Linked DNA regions of Canis lupus familiaris. The protein of the gene in region 2 purifies or fractionates together with the protein of the main gene of each other region. This does not show direct contact. Links are inferred from orthologs where the notes say so. Each region holds a gene or a part of one and is shown on either strand. Other genes may lie near its edges.

Region 1 (4,269 bases), on a different chromosome or scaffold from region 2:
ATATACGCATCTCGGAATTTATGGAATGAGGTATATGGCAAAGACCATGGCCTGAGGACTGTGACATTTACAAGTGGAACAAAGGACAGACTTAACAAAAGAGGTAAAGGAACTTCAGTGTGCTTAGAGCACATCTAAGAGAATGCTGGTCTCAGAGACCCTGAAAAGAGCTTGAAAAAGGAGGGAATGTGGGGGGAATGTGGGTTGAACGCTGGACTCTTGATGTTGGCTTAGGTCATGATCTCAGAGTCATGGGATCAAGCACCCCCACCCCCATCGGGCTCCTTGCTCAGCATATCCCTCTCCCTCTTCTTCTCACCCCCTCCTTTCACACGCTCTCTTTCTTAAATAAATAAATCTTTAAAAAGGAAAAAGGAGGGAATGGTCAGTGGTGTCATGGTGTCTGTGTTTCAACGAACCAGTAGGAACAAAATCATTAAACTGGGCAGAAGGGGCCTTGGAAATAAGTCAGCAGAGATACGGAGTATAAACAGAAACTTTGCCTTGAAAGGATGGAAAAAATGGGACGATAATCCAAGGCCACCATGGGCTGCAGGAAGGGCTCTCTGATTTTTATTTTTTAAATTTGTAATTTTTGTTGTATTATTTATTTATTATTTATTTATTCATGAGAGACACAGAGAGAGGGAGAGAGAGAGAGGCAGAGACACAGGCCGGAGAAGCAGGCTCCATGCAGGGTGCCTGACGTGGGACTCAACCCCGGGTCTCCAGGATCAGGCCCTGGGCTGAAGGCAGCGCTAAACCGCTGAGCCACCGGGGCTGCCCAGGGCTCTGATTTTTATTTTATTTTATTATTTTTATTTTTTTTTATTTTTACAGGGGCTCTGATTTTTAAAGATGTTAAGCCATGTTTGTACACGAATTTGCGATTCAACGGTGAAGGAGAAATGAATGGTACGAAAGATTCAGGGATAATTGCAGGAGGGAAGTTCTTAGAGCCTAATTGGAGGGACAGAAGTAGGAAGCAAGGGAGGTGGGTAGCACTGAAGTTGGTGGCAGGGTTTTGTGGGAGGAAGGGGAGGCAATTTTTGCCAAGACTCCAATACTCATGCCAAAGAACTGCTCAGTTCGGGACGTTAATCTTCCTCTCCCTGAACGGGCACACGACTGGAGGCCCAAGCGGATGGTGCACCGTCTTCTGCTGTCCACCAACAGCCCCCTCCCCGCGCCCGTGAGTGAGGACAAAGGGTTAACCACAAGGTTAAAGGTCGGTGAGGCAGCAGTACGCATAGGCTCCATCTAGCCTAACTCTGGGCCTCCAGTTTTCACCAGCTTCATGTCATCATTTCATCAATCCTCTCCTTTCTGTACCAGCCCAGACGCTCCCTCCCCGGTCCGGTCCTCACGGTGGAAGACCCCGGGCTCCCCGCCCCCGTGCCCGTCGCGCCTGCGCGTTGGGCTCCCTGGGCTCCCCCGCCCCTGTGGACAGTCACGAAGCTGCTCTCGGGCGCGCGTGCTCGGGCGGCGCCTGCGCAGAGGAACGAGGAAACCGGTTCCCCGGTGCGGTCCCTGCGCCTGCGCGCTGAGGGCTCCGGGCCTCCCGGCCTGAGGGAGAGGAGCAGGGAAGATGGCGGCTGTGGTAGAAAATGTAGTGAAGCTGTGAGTAGTGGTTTCTTTCTCTCCTAGGCCAGGAGGTCTTGTAATGGGCCTGGGAGTAGGGGGCGGCGCGGCAGGGGACTAGGCGGAGGGAAGGACGTGCCCGAGAAAGCCTTGTTGCGACTCCTAGTAGGGAGGGCAACAGGAGACTCACAGGAAGACGTTGCGCTTCTTTGGAAACTTGTGGAGGCCCTGAGGGGGGCACACGGGAGCCCCTTACGGGCAGCCTCCCTGCGGGGCTGTGCGGGCTGAGCGCTCCTTCGGGCTCGCGGTGTCCTGAGTATGGCGCCCACGTTGCAGACGAGAAACACGGTCTGAGTGCGCTCCCGAGACCAGACGCCTCGGTGCGGAGGGGCCGGGCCGGGCCGAGGGCGGCCCCGGGACCCACCCGCGTCCCCGCGAAGCCAGGCGCCCCCCCTTCCCGCCCCGCTGCCCGCAGCAGTTCCTGGAGCAACAGGCTCAGCAGCCCTTGCGTGGTTAAGCATGGCGGGGCTGTTTTAACAGCCCTGTGACGTCCGGGGGTGGGGGGTGGGGGTCTTGAGTATCTGATACCCGAGACCAAAAACATTATTGGGAAGAATTTGTTGAGGTGCGGATGCAGCAAGGAAAGAACTTGAGGGCCTTTGCGCCGGCCAGTCCAGCCACCGAAAAACGGGAAGTGGACGGAAGCGGTCCAGGACGCCTCTGCAGCCTAGAGGGGCATCTAGGTCGGCGTGCTGCGCGCTGTGCAGTCAGTCCCCTGCTGCTGGGCAGGCTGCGAGCAAAGTTAAAGTTCATGGTTGTTGGGGAAATGGAGTGTGGTCTGTTGGCCGTGAGTTAAAAATGCTTTGGGACTTGATTTAACCCAGCCTCCTCCCTGAAGAAGATCGAAATGGGTTCGTACCTGGTGGACGAATAGAGCGAACTCTGTTTAATGGGTGAATTGGGCTTGGTGCAGAGGTGGGAAAATTGAGAGGTGACTAGTTGTCCAGGCAGGGCTTGTGGATTTTGACTGGATGACAAGGTAAAGATTTGGAACTATTCTGAGGGACTCAGCTTCTCAGCTGCCTTTGTGGTGGGCTGAGCCCCCACTCTTCCCAAGAGTCTTTATGGAGAGTACGTTGCTTTGCCCACATCCCCCCACCCCCACCCCTCCCCGCCTGGAGCCTTTTCTTTGAGAATGCATTCCCACTTCCATTAAGCTAAGTGCCTTCTTCTCCTCCTGTGGGTTTTTTTTTTTTTTTTTTTTTAACTTGCTTTCAGCTCCATCCTGCGGCCTCTTTTCAGCTACCCCTCCTCCCAACACTATTATCTTTCTCTCTGATCTGCCCACTCCAGTTTCCCCCAGCTCTTTCTTCAGGCTGACATTTCCCTCAATTTAGAAATGTCGCTGTTGATCTACCATTTATATAGTTATCCTTCCTGACTCCTGTTCTTTGTTTCCCTGCGTTTCTCTTTGTTGATTACCCTCCACCCCAATCCCATTGTAAAGGGAGGTTTTACACAGTTTTCATGCTTCCCAGAAAAGAATCAGAGCTCCTACCTTGGAAATTTACTGTACTGGGGGAATGTAAGACTTGCCTAGGTTTTGCGAGTTCACGGGTAATGGGACTTTATGTTGGAAGACTTTCTTCAGGGGAATAGAGTTGTCAACCCTTTCATGTAGTACTAGAAGGGAGGAGTTGCCCATTTCAACAGAGCATGACTTACTTCTATTAAAGGGACTACAGAGATTGTGAGGGGCACCAGCCACTAGTTCCTGAGTACTAGTAACGAGAAACCAACTTTCTCCTCAGTTCTAGCTGCAGAGGACTATGGACCGCAATTAATACATTTCCTTACAAAACTTGCCCTTTGAGAAGGGGTTTCCAGTCTTCCTGTACTATTCTCACCCAGGAGAGAGATACTTTTCTGGAGCTTCTCTTGATCGTGGTATGCTTGTTTTTTGAACAGCTGAGGTTATACATTGAGGTCAGCACTACTAGCTCATCTTCTCTGGCTTGCATCTTGTTCTGAGAGAATTTTCTTATTTATGAATTCTCTCACTCTCTCTTAGTTTCTCCTCATCAGATTCTCTCTCCCCCCCCAACTTAGGCATTTCATTCCCAGTTCTCTTACTCACAAGACAGTTTGAACCACCTTCTGAAATCCCACTTAACTCACAAGTGCTTTGATAGAACATCTCTCATTGTTCCCCAAAAAAAACCAATTCTGGCCTCCATGCTGTGACTTTGCAGCCCTCAGCCTGTCTCTCCGTCCTTCCATTTGACTTCCAGTGTCAGTATCCATTCCCATCAGCAGAAACAAAGGAGCTGCTGCACTCGGCCTGTTTATCCAATTTTCCTCTGTGTGGTGAGGACATGGCTGCCTCCTAAAGGCCAGCTAATGTGAGCCTGTTCCCTTCTCTTCACTCTCCAACACAAAATTCATGCTTACCTCAAATTACAGGCATTACTGCTCATTGAATCAAGCCAGGCATCGCCTTGTGTGTGATGTATGTCTTTTTCAGTTGCTTGGGAACATACTAAGCTGTGCCTAAGTACTATATTGTGACTGCTCTGAGAAGCCCCCCTCGGATTCCAGAGCGTGGTTTGTCGGTGTATCTTGAATTACGGACATAAGCAACAGAGACTCACTCTGCCCAGCTTCTCATGCTAGGGGTCTCCCTCATGT
Region 2 (3,560 bases):
ACAGAATAAATTAATTTATTTAAAAACCAATACAGCATCTGCTTTTTTTTTTTTATAGTGCTGTAGTGCAGGATACATTGGTGTGTTTTATCCCCCTTTATCTGAATTGCGTGGAAAGGAAACTTATACCATTTTTGAAAATACCACGTAAATTTGGCGTGATTCAGGCCCCCAGTGTACCAAAAGTCTAGCTGTGGTTGGAACCTCGTGGAGCCCCTGCAGTCGGCCCCGCTAACTGGGAGCTGGAGCAGGGCAGGGCCCAGGAGCCAGGCCTCTGTGTCCGCAGCCTCTCCAACTGCTCCCTTCCCTTGACAGCTGAGACAGGAGGTGGTGGCCTGCATGCGACGGGACACAACCCTGGAGACGGCCCTCAACTCCAAAGCCTACAAGCGGAGCAAGCGCCAGACCCTGCGGGAGGCCCGCATGACAGAGAAGCTGGAGAAGCAGCAAAAGATCGAGCAGGAGAGGAAGCGCCGCCAGAAGCACCAGGTACGGAGGTGTGGGTGGTGGGGCACCCCCCCCCCCCCGCTCCATGTGGGCAGAGGTGCCCCCCACCCTGACCAAGAGCTCCGATGGAGCCAGAAGGACTGAAGGACATCCCATGGTGGGCAGTGGGCACATCCCAGAGCAGAAAGGTCCCCTGGAGCTCCCACGGTCCAGCCGCCCCATGTAAGGTGCAGGGAGGCCCTGCCGGGCTGCTGGAGGACCCTGCTTTCTGCATTCCAGGCAGGTGTCTCCCTCCTCATCCCCCTGGCTGGTGCCCCGCTGGATGGGCAAGGGTGGGCTGCCTGGGGCAAAATCCCGAGGAGCGGGCACTTGGAAGAGGCAAGAGGAGAGCAAAACCAGTAGTTCTTATAGCAAATATAAATACAGTCTCCTGGGCTTTTCAAGGGCCCACTTGGAGGTTTCATAGGGACAGATATTTTAAAACATCCTTTTCTAGGGGTTTGGAAATAGTTTGATGTAGGATTTGATTTTTGCATTGCAGTCCTACAAATTTTGTTTGTTTTCCTGGGCTTAATTTAGTGCCCCGGCTTCAGTTTTATTTTGAAAAATGTCAGGTTTTCGTTGGTTCGCATTTCCTCGCCTTTATTTAAAAAGTCAGTCCAAACTCTGTGCAGTGATTTTAGCTGCCCCTCCCGCACCTGATTTCAAATTTCGGGGCTAAGGCATTTAAGTCAGAGCAGAAGAGGCATTACTTTTATAACCTGGCTCTCACTAGAAATATCTGCTTCCCTCGGGTTGATTCAAGGGTGATTTGCTTTAAATTTGTCCTCACCATTTTGCGGGCTTCTGTTAATCCTTGGTTTTGCTTTTTTTCATGAGGCCATATCCATGGTCCTAGACGCTTCTCTTCCACAAGCTGGCGCCTCTTCCCACCAGCCCCAGAGCCCACAGCTCAGCTACCAGGAGACATAGCAGGGCACCTGCCTCACAGAAGATTCTAGTCTTCCACTGTTGTGAAGTGCTCACTGAGCGTTTTCCTGGGCTGCACTGAAATCTCAGATGACATTGGGAAATAGACTTTAAGCGTCCTTTTCCTTCTCCCTTTGGGTCCTGTAGGAATACCTGAACAGCATTTTGCAACATGCAAAGGATTTCAAGGAGTACCATCGGTCTGTGGCTGGGAAGATCCAGAAGCTGTCCAAAGCGGTGGCAACTTGGCACGCCAACACTGAGAGAGAGCAGAAAAAAGAGACGGAGCGAATCGAGAAGGAGAGAATGCGCAGACTGATGGTAAGGGGCTTGCCTGCGGGGACCCAGGCCCGTGGGGTCCTTGCATACACCTGTATTGTGGGTGTTAAATACACCATAGCAAGAGTGGGTAAAAGCAGCTTATCAGATACATGAACACGCCCCTTTGAACTAAATGTGAATAGAGTGAAAGCACCTTCTCCTTCCTCGACAACGCATGCCGCAAATCCATGGCCACAGCTGATGAGTGTATAATATCTCTGTATCCTGGGGTAGCCTTGCCATGCAGGGGATAGCTTCTCACATCAAGGCAGGTACAGTTTGTAGGAGGCTTACCAAACAAATCTAGAAGGATGGATATGGTCGTTCTTTTTAAAATATTGCCTCTTTGAGACTAATGACACAGGTTGTTTTGAGTGAGTGTGTCATGAAGTTGTGTGTCTTAGACTCAAAGAAGGTCTGTTTTTTGAAGCCTCTGGTGCTTATCTTTTTTTTTTTTTTTTTTTTAGTGGTAGAAAATTCTTCCTAACAGAGTAAAAAGTGATTTTTAAGTTAATTTTGAAATGTTACTTTTTCGGTTATGGCTGTTTTATTGTCAAAGGCTATTCGTGGATCATTACATTTGTGCTGTTATTTTCTTAATGGACGGTTAAATACAGAAGGGATTGGTTTACATCGTTGGCCTGGGTATCCAGCTTTATTGACCATTCATTTTTGGAACTGGACCCCAGAGCACACCGTGGATTTCAGAAAAGTGTGTGTGATCTATAATGAGGGGATACTGCACATTCTATCAGACATAATGCCGGAGTATGGGATGGAGATGAAATCGTTAGCCTTGGCCCCTAATTACATCCCTGGAAAATTTCAAGTGACTCTGTCTTCCTTGATGGGATTATGGTTGGCATTTTGTGTTCATTATCTTTTTTGGATTCTGGAGAGTAAACACTGTGTTTTAAAAGTCTCTGCGTCCAGGTGCTACTAAATCTCACCACCCACCCCCATGTCCCCCTCCTTTTTTTTTTGGTGGAGTGGGGGAAAGGAGAGGACTGTCCGCTAGATTTCTAACTAGCTAGGGAGGCCATTTCATAGTGATCTGAGCAGCAAGCAGTCAAATTTGTCTGATTCAACTGGAGTGAAACTATATTAGAACTTCAGTAACAGATTGGCTTGACACTAATGATTAGGCATTTGCAAATCATTAATTTTTGCAATTAAATGATGGAATATACAGATAACAGAGAAACTGAAGTTTTTTATCACTCTTTCTTCAAGTGAGATCAACCATAACCAAATGCAATTAGAGTTATAATAGCATTTGAGGTTCAGGCTCATGCACGGGGCAGACAGCAGCCAGACTGGGTGATGAAACTGCTGTCACTCGGGCATATGCCGAAGTGACACCCCAGGACTGAAGATCCTCAGCATTTCTGCAGTGCACTTGTCTCTTGAGGATTTTGTGACATGTCCCTTTTATCCTGCTTCACACAAGGAAAATATTTTGAGATGTCCTTTTATTGGGATGTGTAAAACAGATTTCTCTTGAAATGGCTCAGAGTACGTCAGTTTTTATTGCATTTAACCTCATAATGTTGCTTAATGGGAGGTAGAGGTGGAAATTACTGGATCTGTTTTATTGCTTAGCAGCATCAGACTCCAGGTGCTAAATGCCTTGTCTGCAGTCACCTAGGCCCTCTGTGCTGTGCTGGTCTGTGACAAAAATCCCCCCGAATTTGACATTTTCCATCAACTGCAATGTTTGTAATGCTTCTATGTATCAGAAGTTGCACTTATTACAGTCAAAGTCCATTTGAGTCTTTGCCTTTAGAAATGATTATTGAAGTGCGCCTGGATGGCTCAGTGGG
Region 3 (4,173 bases), on a different chromosome or scaffold from region 2:
ATGGTTATTTTCATCCAACATCTGAAATAAAATTAGAAAAAGTTTATTATAAACGTAGTGCATCACATAAATTTTTTTTTAAATCCTTCAGATTTCTAGAAATGTTTATTCATAAAGGAACTGAATCTATTCAGTTCTTTTAAGTCTTATTCTACACCCCTGGAATGATATGTTTAATCAGTAATTTTCAAAGAACTATATTCCAATTATTCTCCCCTTAAATTATTACCTGAAGCCCTAAACGAGTTTCTTTTGTATTCAAACATTTTATTACTTCTGCTACTTGTAATATAAGATTTAGCCTGTTAAGACTAAAAGGTAAGGGTCAAAGCTAACTTTGCGTCATTCTTATGCTCTGCAGGAGTAAAGAAACATTTTGTCCTTATCCACAATGAATACATGAAAATATAAGCCCATAAAGCTTGAGGAGATAGCTGGCTAGTTTCCAAGTGTTATACAGTATGGTTCTGTGGTTCATATACCAAATACGGAATAATCAAATACGATAATTTCTATGAATATGTATTCGTTACAGACTTTACAAGCTTACCTTATAAATTAAGTTGTCCCAAGAGTTTAAAAACAAAAAGCATATCAACTTATCATTCTACTGTCTTATAACAATTCAAAGCAGTATTGGCTTAAAGGATTAAATAATTCATCTAAGTAAGGGTGCACTGAGGAAAGTACTGACATAGTAATGAAAAGACCAGTTAGTTTTAGTGCCAGCCTCACAATCCTATGCAAATCACTTACGATTTTAAAGACTCAGATTTATCTTAAGGTCAAGTGACAGGAGTAGATGTTCCTCCTGAACTTGTCCTACATTTCCAAGACTCGATAAACATAAAGTATAATACAATAATCACTCTACTTCAATAACTTAATGTAGCTCTTTTAATCAAAAACAAAAATCCACTGAATCTTGTGACTTTCTTCCCACATAAGAATCACAATATTCACTTGCTAGAAAAAAAAAAAAATATATTGACATGCTCTTCCAAAAAGTGCAGTTATTTCCTAAACAGAATCATCGGATGCCAAAAAAGAAAAAAAAAGTCTTTAAAATCCATTAGTCCAATCTAATGATTTCACAACATAATCTCTTCAGTTGAATACTCAACCTAACAAACTTCACTGGAGAATATGTCTCATTTCTAACATCAATCTCTCACACTGTAAAGTAAGGCTCTTAATTTAGAATCCGTTTTCTCTTCTCATTTCAGAATGAAAACTAATTGATCTGCATCTCCTGAGTAATCACTGGTAGTAAATATCTTAACATGTATGCAAGAAAAACTCTTTGAAAACCAACCAACCAGCCTTAGGACTCTTCTACGGTCCAAAATTTAAAAAAAAAAAAAAAAAAAAAAAAAATGAATCCCTCCAAAAACATGTCTTTCGTGCATGTACTTGGAGCTGTTTGCCAGGCTGCAGACTTAGCCCAACGCACTCTATGAAACTACCGCCACTTCCAGGCACTGACAGGCCGGTTTGTTCAAATAAATAAATAAATAAATAAATAAAGCAACAGTTGGGCAAATGTCAAATGCCACGCGAGAAAGAAGGTGACAGTCAACAGAAGCCCGTTAACATAATCTGCCGGCATACAACGGTGCCTGAGGGGTACGAAAAAGTGGACTTTTCTTCGGTTTTCATCTTCATCCCAATGGATACAACAGAACCGCGATACCTAAGGTAAACTGCCGAATTTACCAAGTAACTTTTCAAAGTCTGGTTGACTAAAATTCAGATTACGGTCTTGCTCATCGGCAACAAGGGACAGCGGACAATAAAGCAGCTTTGTTTGTGTCCCTAGCTGGCAGGCAGCGGAGCAGCGACCGAGGCAGCACCCCCCTCCCCCGTGCAGGGAGCACCACTGCGTTCCAGGTCACGACGGCCGGGTGGTCTCCGGGGCTAGACCGCGGTCACCACTGCAGGCTCAGCACCCGGCGCAGGCGCTCAGAGCGGACCTGCCGCAGATGCACACGGCTAGGGGGTGAAGCCGGAAGGGACGAGGACGTCGGAGGGGACCCCCGAGTCCACAGGGGCCTCCTTCGCCCGCCCCTCAGGCGCCTGCGGCGTCCCCCCGACTTCTCCCGGGAGCTCCCCAAGGCGGCGGGAGCGCGCGGCGCGGCGGGGGGCGGCGGGGGGCGGCGGAGGGCGGCGACCCACGCTGCGACTTCCCCTCGGCCTCCCGCGACGCGAGGTCGGGTGTGCGGCAGCGGCGGCGGCCGCGGCGCGCGGGGCGGGGCGACGCCGAAGTAACTCCGGAGCGGCGCGCGGGGCCGCGGGGGGCGCCGGCTCCCACACACCGCCCTTCCCCGCGCGGCCGTCGGCGCCGCCGGGCGCACGCGCCCCGCCGCCCGAACGCCGCCCCATCCCCGGAGAAATCCGGCGGCGGCTACTTGGGCTTTTGTGCCCGCAGGAGAGAGCCCAGAGGCGCCAAGGGCTCCGTGGGGGGGCTGGTTCGCCGCCTTCCGCCGCCCACTCGGGCACAGCCCGCGGCTCGGGTTCCCACACGCGACCGCCTCCCAGCAGGCCCGCCTCCGCCCCCCGCCCGGCCGACTCCCGGGCCGGCCCCCGGCGGCGCCCCCGAGGGCGGGATGGGCCTGGCATCCCCGACCCCGCGAGGCTTCACCTTCTGGATCGCGGCGGGGGTGATCTCCCCCTTGCCTCGCTGCCTCGGGGCTGCGAACGCCACGGACATGTTGCCGCCGTCACCACTACGGGCAAGTCCCGAGCGCTCCGGGGGAACGGCAAACTGGGGGAGAGACGCCGGCCTCTCGGGCCGAACCACCTCGGGAACGCGGGGAGGGGGGATGCTCCGGCGCCGACCGCGCAGCCGGCCGGCCCGGCCCCCAGCTCTTCCTCGGGCGCGTCGCAGTCGGGGGCCGGCGCGGGACCCGGCGCCGCAGCCCCCGCGGCGCTGCCCGGCTCTCGGCCGACCTCCCGCCCTCCGCCCCTCGCTGGGCCGTCCCCCCCGCGCCGTCGGAGCTAGTGGTAGGGCCGCGCCCCAGTCCTCCCTCCGCTTCAGCGATTCAGGAAATGGTCCCGCCGCCGCGGGAGAAGGAGAGGCTGGGGCAGACCCTGTCACAGGAAATGCGAGCGCCCGAGCCGGCCCGCCCCTTTCGCGCGGTGCCACTTGCCTGCCTCTCCTGCGCGCTGAGCCGCCCTCCGCCTGCGCTTCGGCGCTCGGCTCGAGACCCGATTCAGTTCTGTCAACTTCATCCTCAGCGGCCCCCGCCCCCGGGAAGAAGGGGCCGGCCCGGGCTGTCCCGGCACCGGGTCAGGACCTGCGAGCTCGAGCCGCCCGGCGCCGCGCCTGCCGAGGGGAGCAGAGGTGGAAGGTGTAGGCGGCCGCGGATTCGCTGGTTCAAACCGCCCGGCTACGCCCCGGAGGCGCACCTCCGAGTCCGCAGCCTCGCAGGCGCACGGGCGCGCCCAACAGTCGGAAAGTCGGCGTGGCCGTGGCCCCAGTGGAGCAGGCCGGCTGCGCGCGGTCCCCGAGGCCGCCCACGGCCGGCCGCCGCGTGGGGCAAAGCCCTGGCACAGACGCGCGCCGAATTCGTCGGACGAGGAGCTTCGGGACTAAGTTTTGAGACCGAGCACCCTCACGGTTTTCCTTTTACAGTTACAGACTTGATTGCTTTGTAAATTAGGCCCAAGCTGCCAGGGTTCAAATCAGTGCGAGGGGAAAAAAAAAAAAAAAAATCCCAAAGCTCTCAAACTAGGGCAGGAACACGGGTCAAATGTGGGTAAGGTACTGGCCCTGGGGAGGGGCGGGGGTTGGGGGTGTAATTATTCTGTAAATGTGGACTTCCATAGAACACAAAGGAAACGTTTATGTAAGACGTAGCCGTCGCCCAACGGTAATGAGGCTCAAAAACAACTCTTTCATTTACATATAAAACTGGGGAAAAAAACTAAGAAAAAATGCATATTTTAAAGTTTTTGTTTCAAATATATGCTCTTCACGAGAGGCCCTAAGTTTCATTAAGCAAACGTTGGTAGTTTTGTGTGCTAGGCACCTGGGATATAGCGGTCATACGGTGGACATGGAACCTGCTCTCATGGAGCTTATATTCTGACAAGGCTGACAGATTAGAAACAAGTATGTAAATATGTAAACTTCTAAGAAAGACTAGATGGTAACGAGGAACAGAGAACGAC
Region 4 (4,057 bases), on a different chromosome or scaffold from region 2:
TTGAGTCCCATATCAGGCTCCCCACAGGGAGCCTGCTTCTCCCTCTGCCTATGTCTCTGCCTCTCTGTGTCTCTCATGAATAAATAAATAAAATCTTTTTTAAAAAGTTAAGCCTAAAAAAAAATTTTCCCCCAGTTTTGGGGGAATGCAAGTGACATTCTTGAATAAGGATTAGATTATGGACAAGCAGAGCTGGGGAGCCTGAAGAATGACTTGTGAAAGTTTCAAATCCAAATGTGAGGTTCCAGAAAAGCAAAAAAAGCAAGTGTTGTGACTGCTGATATTGATGATGCCGTTCAACAAACAGAAAGAAGAATCAACTACAGACTTAGCAAACTGAAATTAATTCCTGGACTGAGCACTCCACTTCCTCATGATCCTGTGCTAGACCTTGGGCACACAGGCAGCAAGATGTACAGTCCCTACCCTCACAGAGCCTCATTCCAATTGGAAACAGAAATCAAACAACTCATTTCATAGTTGCTTAATCATTAGACTTAACCACATCAAACTGCCACTTCAGTTAAGTTAAAAAGTCAAATATAGGAAATGTCTTATTGGGATCCCTGGGTGGCGCAGTGGTTTGGCGCCTGCCTTTGGCTCAGGGCGTGATCCTGGAGACCCGGGATCGAATCCCACGTCGGGCTCCTGGTGCATGGAGCCTGCTTCTCCCTCTGCCTGTCTCTGCCTCTCTCTCTCTGTGACTATCATAAATAAATAAAAATAAAAATAAAAAAAAAAAGGAAATGTCTTATTATTCAATCTAATACAATTGTGGAAAGTTCTATGAAGGGGACCTGATTTAGATTAGAAATCTTAAAAGGTGTCCCTTGAGAAAGCAATTTTTGTGAGTAGTTAACTGGTCAAGGAATGAGTAGTTAACTAGTCAAGGAGGAGAAGGTAGATGATACCAGGCTTCCTGTGGCTCCCGCTGAAAGATGGCAAGCCACACGGGGAAAGAGGGCAGTCTGAGCCAGTCCAGTGAGGTAGGAAGACCATCTTTGGTCTTTAACCTAAGAGCAAGAAGAGGTCACTGAAGCATTGTTTCTATAGCAGGGGAATGCTATGATAATATTTACACTGAAAAGTGAAATCACTCTGAGTGCAATGTGATGAATGGACTGGGTAATGAGAGTTGAAGAAAGCCAAGAGTTCCAGATGAGAGAGGATGGTCCTCTGGCCAGACTGCTGGGGCTGGGGGTCAGGGTTCAGCAGAGATGGCCAGAAGAAAAGGAAAGGTGTGCTGATTCTTAGGTTTCACCAAAAAACAAACAAACCCCAACCCTAGGAGGATTAGATTTGGAGGGAAAAAAATCATTAATTATTTAATATATATGAATCTCAACTACATATAAAGCTCTTATATATAAAGAAATAAGGAGGGGCAGCCCAGGTGGCCCAGTGGTTTAGTGCCGCCTTCAGCCCAGGGTGTGATCCTGGAGTCCCGGGATCGAGTCCCAGGTCAAGCTCCCTGCGTGGAGCCTGTTTCTCTCTCTGCCTGTGTCTCAGCCTCTCTCTCTCTCTCTCTGTCATGAATAAATAAAATCGGAAGGAAAGGAAGGAAGGAAGGAACTTGTGAGGGAGGGGGATCCCTGGGTGGCCCAGCGGTTTAGCGCCTGCCTTTGGCCCAGGGCGCCATCCTGGAGTCCCGGGATCGAGTCCCACGTCGGACTCCTGGCACGGAGCCTGCCTCTCTCTATGTCTATAATTAAATAAATAAATAAATAAATAAATCTTAAAAAAAAAAAAAAAAGGTACTTGTGAGGGAAACGAAGAGACACGCAAAAACAAAAACAACACCTGAAGTAATGATGCCCCTGGAGTGGATAGAGGTCTCTGGAAGGAAGGCTAACCCCTACCTGGGCTTTAAAACTATTACTAGCAGTCGGCCAGATTAAAAGACTCAAGAAGTTGGAGCAAACAGTTGGCTGTTAAACTTTTAATGTGATGATGCATCGAAGTTCCTGATACAAAACAGGCGGCCAACCGGCCCTGCAATGAACATCACACAAGCCGTTTCCAAATGAGGGTAGGTCTCGACGACTGCTTTATCAACAGCCTACCCAGCTGGCGGCGTGCGGGCCAGTGCACTGGGGGGAAAGGCGGGTTTTGATTCCCTTGACCACGGCTGCTCCCGTGACAGGTTTAGCGAGCAGCTCTCACCAAACTTAAAACGAGTTAACACGTAGAGCGCTCGGCCTGGCTGGCGGGAAACCCCCCGAGACTGTCAGCTACCACGCCGGGCAGCTCAGAGGCAGCAAGGCTCCCGAGACCCGCCGGGTGGGGCGCGGCGCGCGAACGAGGCCACGCAGCCACCACGGCGGCCGGAAGCCCGCAGCCCCTCCGGGAGACGCGCGGCCCTCGGGCAGGTGGGCGGGCCCGCGAGCCGGGCGACCCCCTGATTGGCGGCAGCCGGCGCGCCCTCTGACCTCACGCCGACGCGAGCTGCACCCTCCTCCCGCCTTCTCCCGCTCCCCCCTCCCCCCAGCGCCTGCCGGTCGGCGCCCACCCCGCCAGCCAGTCTCGCGCTCCTCTGGGCCTGGGCTGGCGACCCCGCCGGCACCCTCGGGTCCGGCCCCTCACCATTTCCGCACTTTCTCGATGGCCGCCATCACCTTCTTGATGTCGTCCTTGGCCCGGCTGCGGGTCTCTGCCCGGACCGACCGGCCCGACATGGCGGCAGCGGGAGCGGCGGGGGCCGGGGCACTGCTCCCAAGACCCAGGGAATCGCGCGCCTCACGCACCGCCGCCTGCCCGCCGCAGCAGCGTCACCGCAGCCGTCGCCCCCTCCGTGCGCGCGTGCGCGAGGAAGCGCGCGCACCCGCCCGCCTCTTGGGGCTCGAGGCCTCAGCGCGCCTGCGCGCCCCGCCCCGGGCGGCCCTCCCTGGGCGCCCCAGGAGTCTCCCGTCTGCCCCCGTGCAGGCCGCGGTTCGCGAAGAGCGGCGGCACGTGCTGCGGGCAAGGCGAGGTGCGAGGCGCTGCCCGTGGGCTCCCTTTCGGGGTTTGGAGGTCGGCACCTTTGCCCTCTTGCCGGGGTTGCTGCCTTTAGCTACGTGTTATGCATTTGACCCGAACGGGTGCGCGGTTCTGTTGCCTCTCCTCTCCAGCTCCCTTGCTTTCCGGATAGTACTGTTGTGCTCTAACCACAGAATCTCACACCTTAATTCAGTATATTCTCCTAACTTGGCACACACCGGCTCCCTTCCTGGAATTCTCATCACTTTACCTGTGAACTGACCACGTAGTCTACTAACATCCAGATCCAACTCAGAGAAGCCTTCCCCTGCTATCCTCAGGTTCCGCTTAGCACTCTACATCACTGTCTGATTTAATCCTGCAGTCGTTGACTGAGTGGTGCTTGCGTTCTGCAAGGCTACGTGGCCAATGCTGAGGACAAAACCTGGGTTTTTGCCTTCAAAGAGCTTCCAGTTCAGAACATCCAGACCAGAAAACAGGCCTTTTAAATGCCATTTTATGAATGATAGGCTAAAGTAGTCCTAATCCAAATAAGGGGTGTCCAGAGGCTTCCGGGAAAATATAACCTTGAAGTCGACCTCTGAAAACGGGATACAAGTGCAACTGCTCCAAGACATGTGTCCACACATTGTAGAACATGCTCAATAAATATTTGGGTGAATGTTGAATTTTGAGAGCAGCTTCTTTGCTCTCCATTCCCTCCCCCATATTTATTGATGCCTGCGGTATTTAGGGAGGCTTCATAGAGTAACAGCCTCAGGAGACATAAAGGAAGCAGGTGACAGTTTGCATTGATTGATTGGCAGTGGTTACTTCTCTCACCTCTAGAGAAACCTCCTTCTGTATGCCTCAGAAAAATGCCTAGCTAACTCGAACTCGACACAGCCTCTGACTATGTTCAGGCATTCATGACTAACATCACGATTTGATAAGCATATGCTGTCTTGCTAATGAGAAGCCTGGGAATAGCATCTGACTGACTGAGGACTGGAAGAGCTGAACCAGCATGTGGAGAGAAGGGATGATTCTAGAACTAATGGGATCAGAGGTGGCCTATCTGTTTCTCAAGCCCAACTGATCC

What was found. Proteins that work in one complex are often made in the same cells at the same time.
Region 1: the proteins of SMARCA2 (region 2) and DPF2 purify together in Homo sapiens (affinity purification with mass spectrometry; 6 studies listed by BioGRID and IntAct, counting the BioPlex papers as one, with this or other methods). This does not show direct contact. The link is inferred for Canis lupus familiaris from reciprocal best matches to the Homo sapiens genes SMARCA2 and DPF2.
Region 3: the proteins of SMARCA2 (region 2) and SS18 purify together in Homo sapiens (affinity purification with mass spectrometry; 6 studies listed by BioGRID and IntAct, counting the BioPlex papers as one, with this or other methods). This does not show direct contact. The link is inferred for Canis lupus familiaris from reciprocal best matches to the Homo sapiens genes SMARCA2 and SS18.
Region 4: the proteins of SMARCA2 (region 2) and BCL7B purify together in Homo sapiens (affinity purification with mass spectrometry; 3 studies listed by BioGRID, with this or other methods). This does not show direct contact. The link is inferred for Canis lupus familiaris from reciprocal best matches to the Homo sapiens genes SMARCA2 and BCL7B.

What each region holds. Positions count from the first base shown.
Region 1 is NC_049239.1:52,349,216-52,353,484, reverse strand, and holds the start of DPF2 (zinc finger protein ubi-d4), read left to right. Parts: upstream 1-1,469; 5' UTR 1,470-1,588; coding exon 1,589-1,620; intron 1,621-4,269. UniProt on the Homo sapiens protein: Plays an active role in transcriptional regulation by binding modified histones H3 and H4. Is a negative regulator of myeloid differentiation of hematopoietic progenitor cells. Might also have a role in the development and maturation of lymphoid cells.
Region 2 is NC_049222.1:91,431,945-91,435,504, forward strand, and holds part of SMARCA2 (probable global transcription activator SNF2L2), read left to right. Parts: intron 1-315; coding exon 316-489; intron 490-1,563; coding exon 1,564-1,737; intron 1,738-3,560. UniProt on the Homo sapiens protein: ATPase involved in transcriptional activation and repression of select genes by chromatin remodeling (alteration of DNA-nucleosome topology).
Region 3 is NC_049228.1:62,527,650-62,531,822, reverse strand, and holds the start of SS18 (protein SSXT), read right to left. Parts: upstream 2,801-4,173; 5' UTR 2,711-2,800; coding exon 2,642-2,710; intron 2,127-2,641; exon of another isoform or gene 1,820-2,126; intron 1,699-1,819; exon of another isoform or gene 1,227-1,698; intron 22-1,226; coding exon 1-21. UniProt on the Homo sapiens protein: Appears to function synergistically with RBM14 as a transcriptional coactivator. Isoform 1 and isoform 2 function in nuclear receptor coactivation. Isoform 1 and isoform 2 function in general transcriptional coactivation.
Region 4 is NC_049227.1:6,595,243-6,599,299, reverse strand, and holds the start of BCL7B (B-cell CLL/lymphoma 7 protein family member B), read right to left. Parts: upstream 2,801-4,057; 5' UTR 2,676-2,800; coding exon 2,584-2,675; intron 1-2,583. UniProt on the Homo sapiens protein: Positive regulator of apoptosis. Plays a role in the Wnt signaling pathway, negatively regulating the expression of Wnt signaling components CTNNB1 and HMGA1.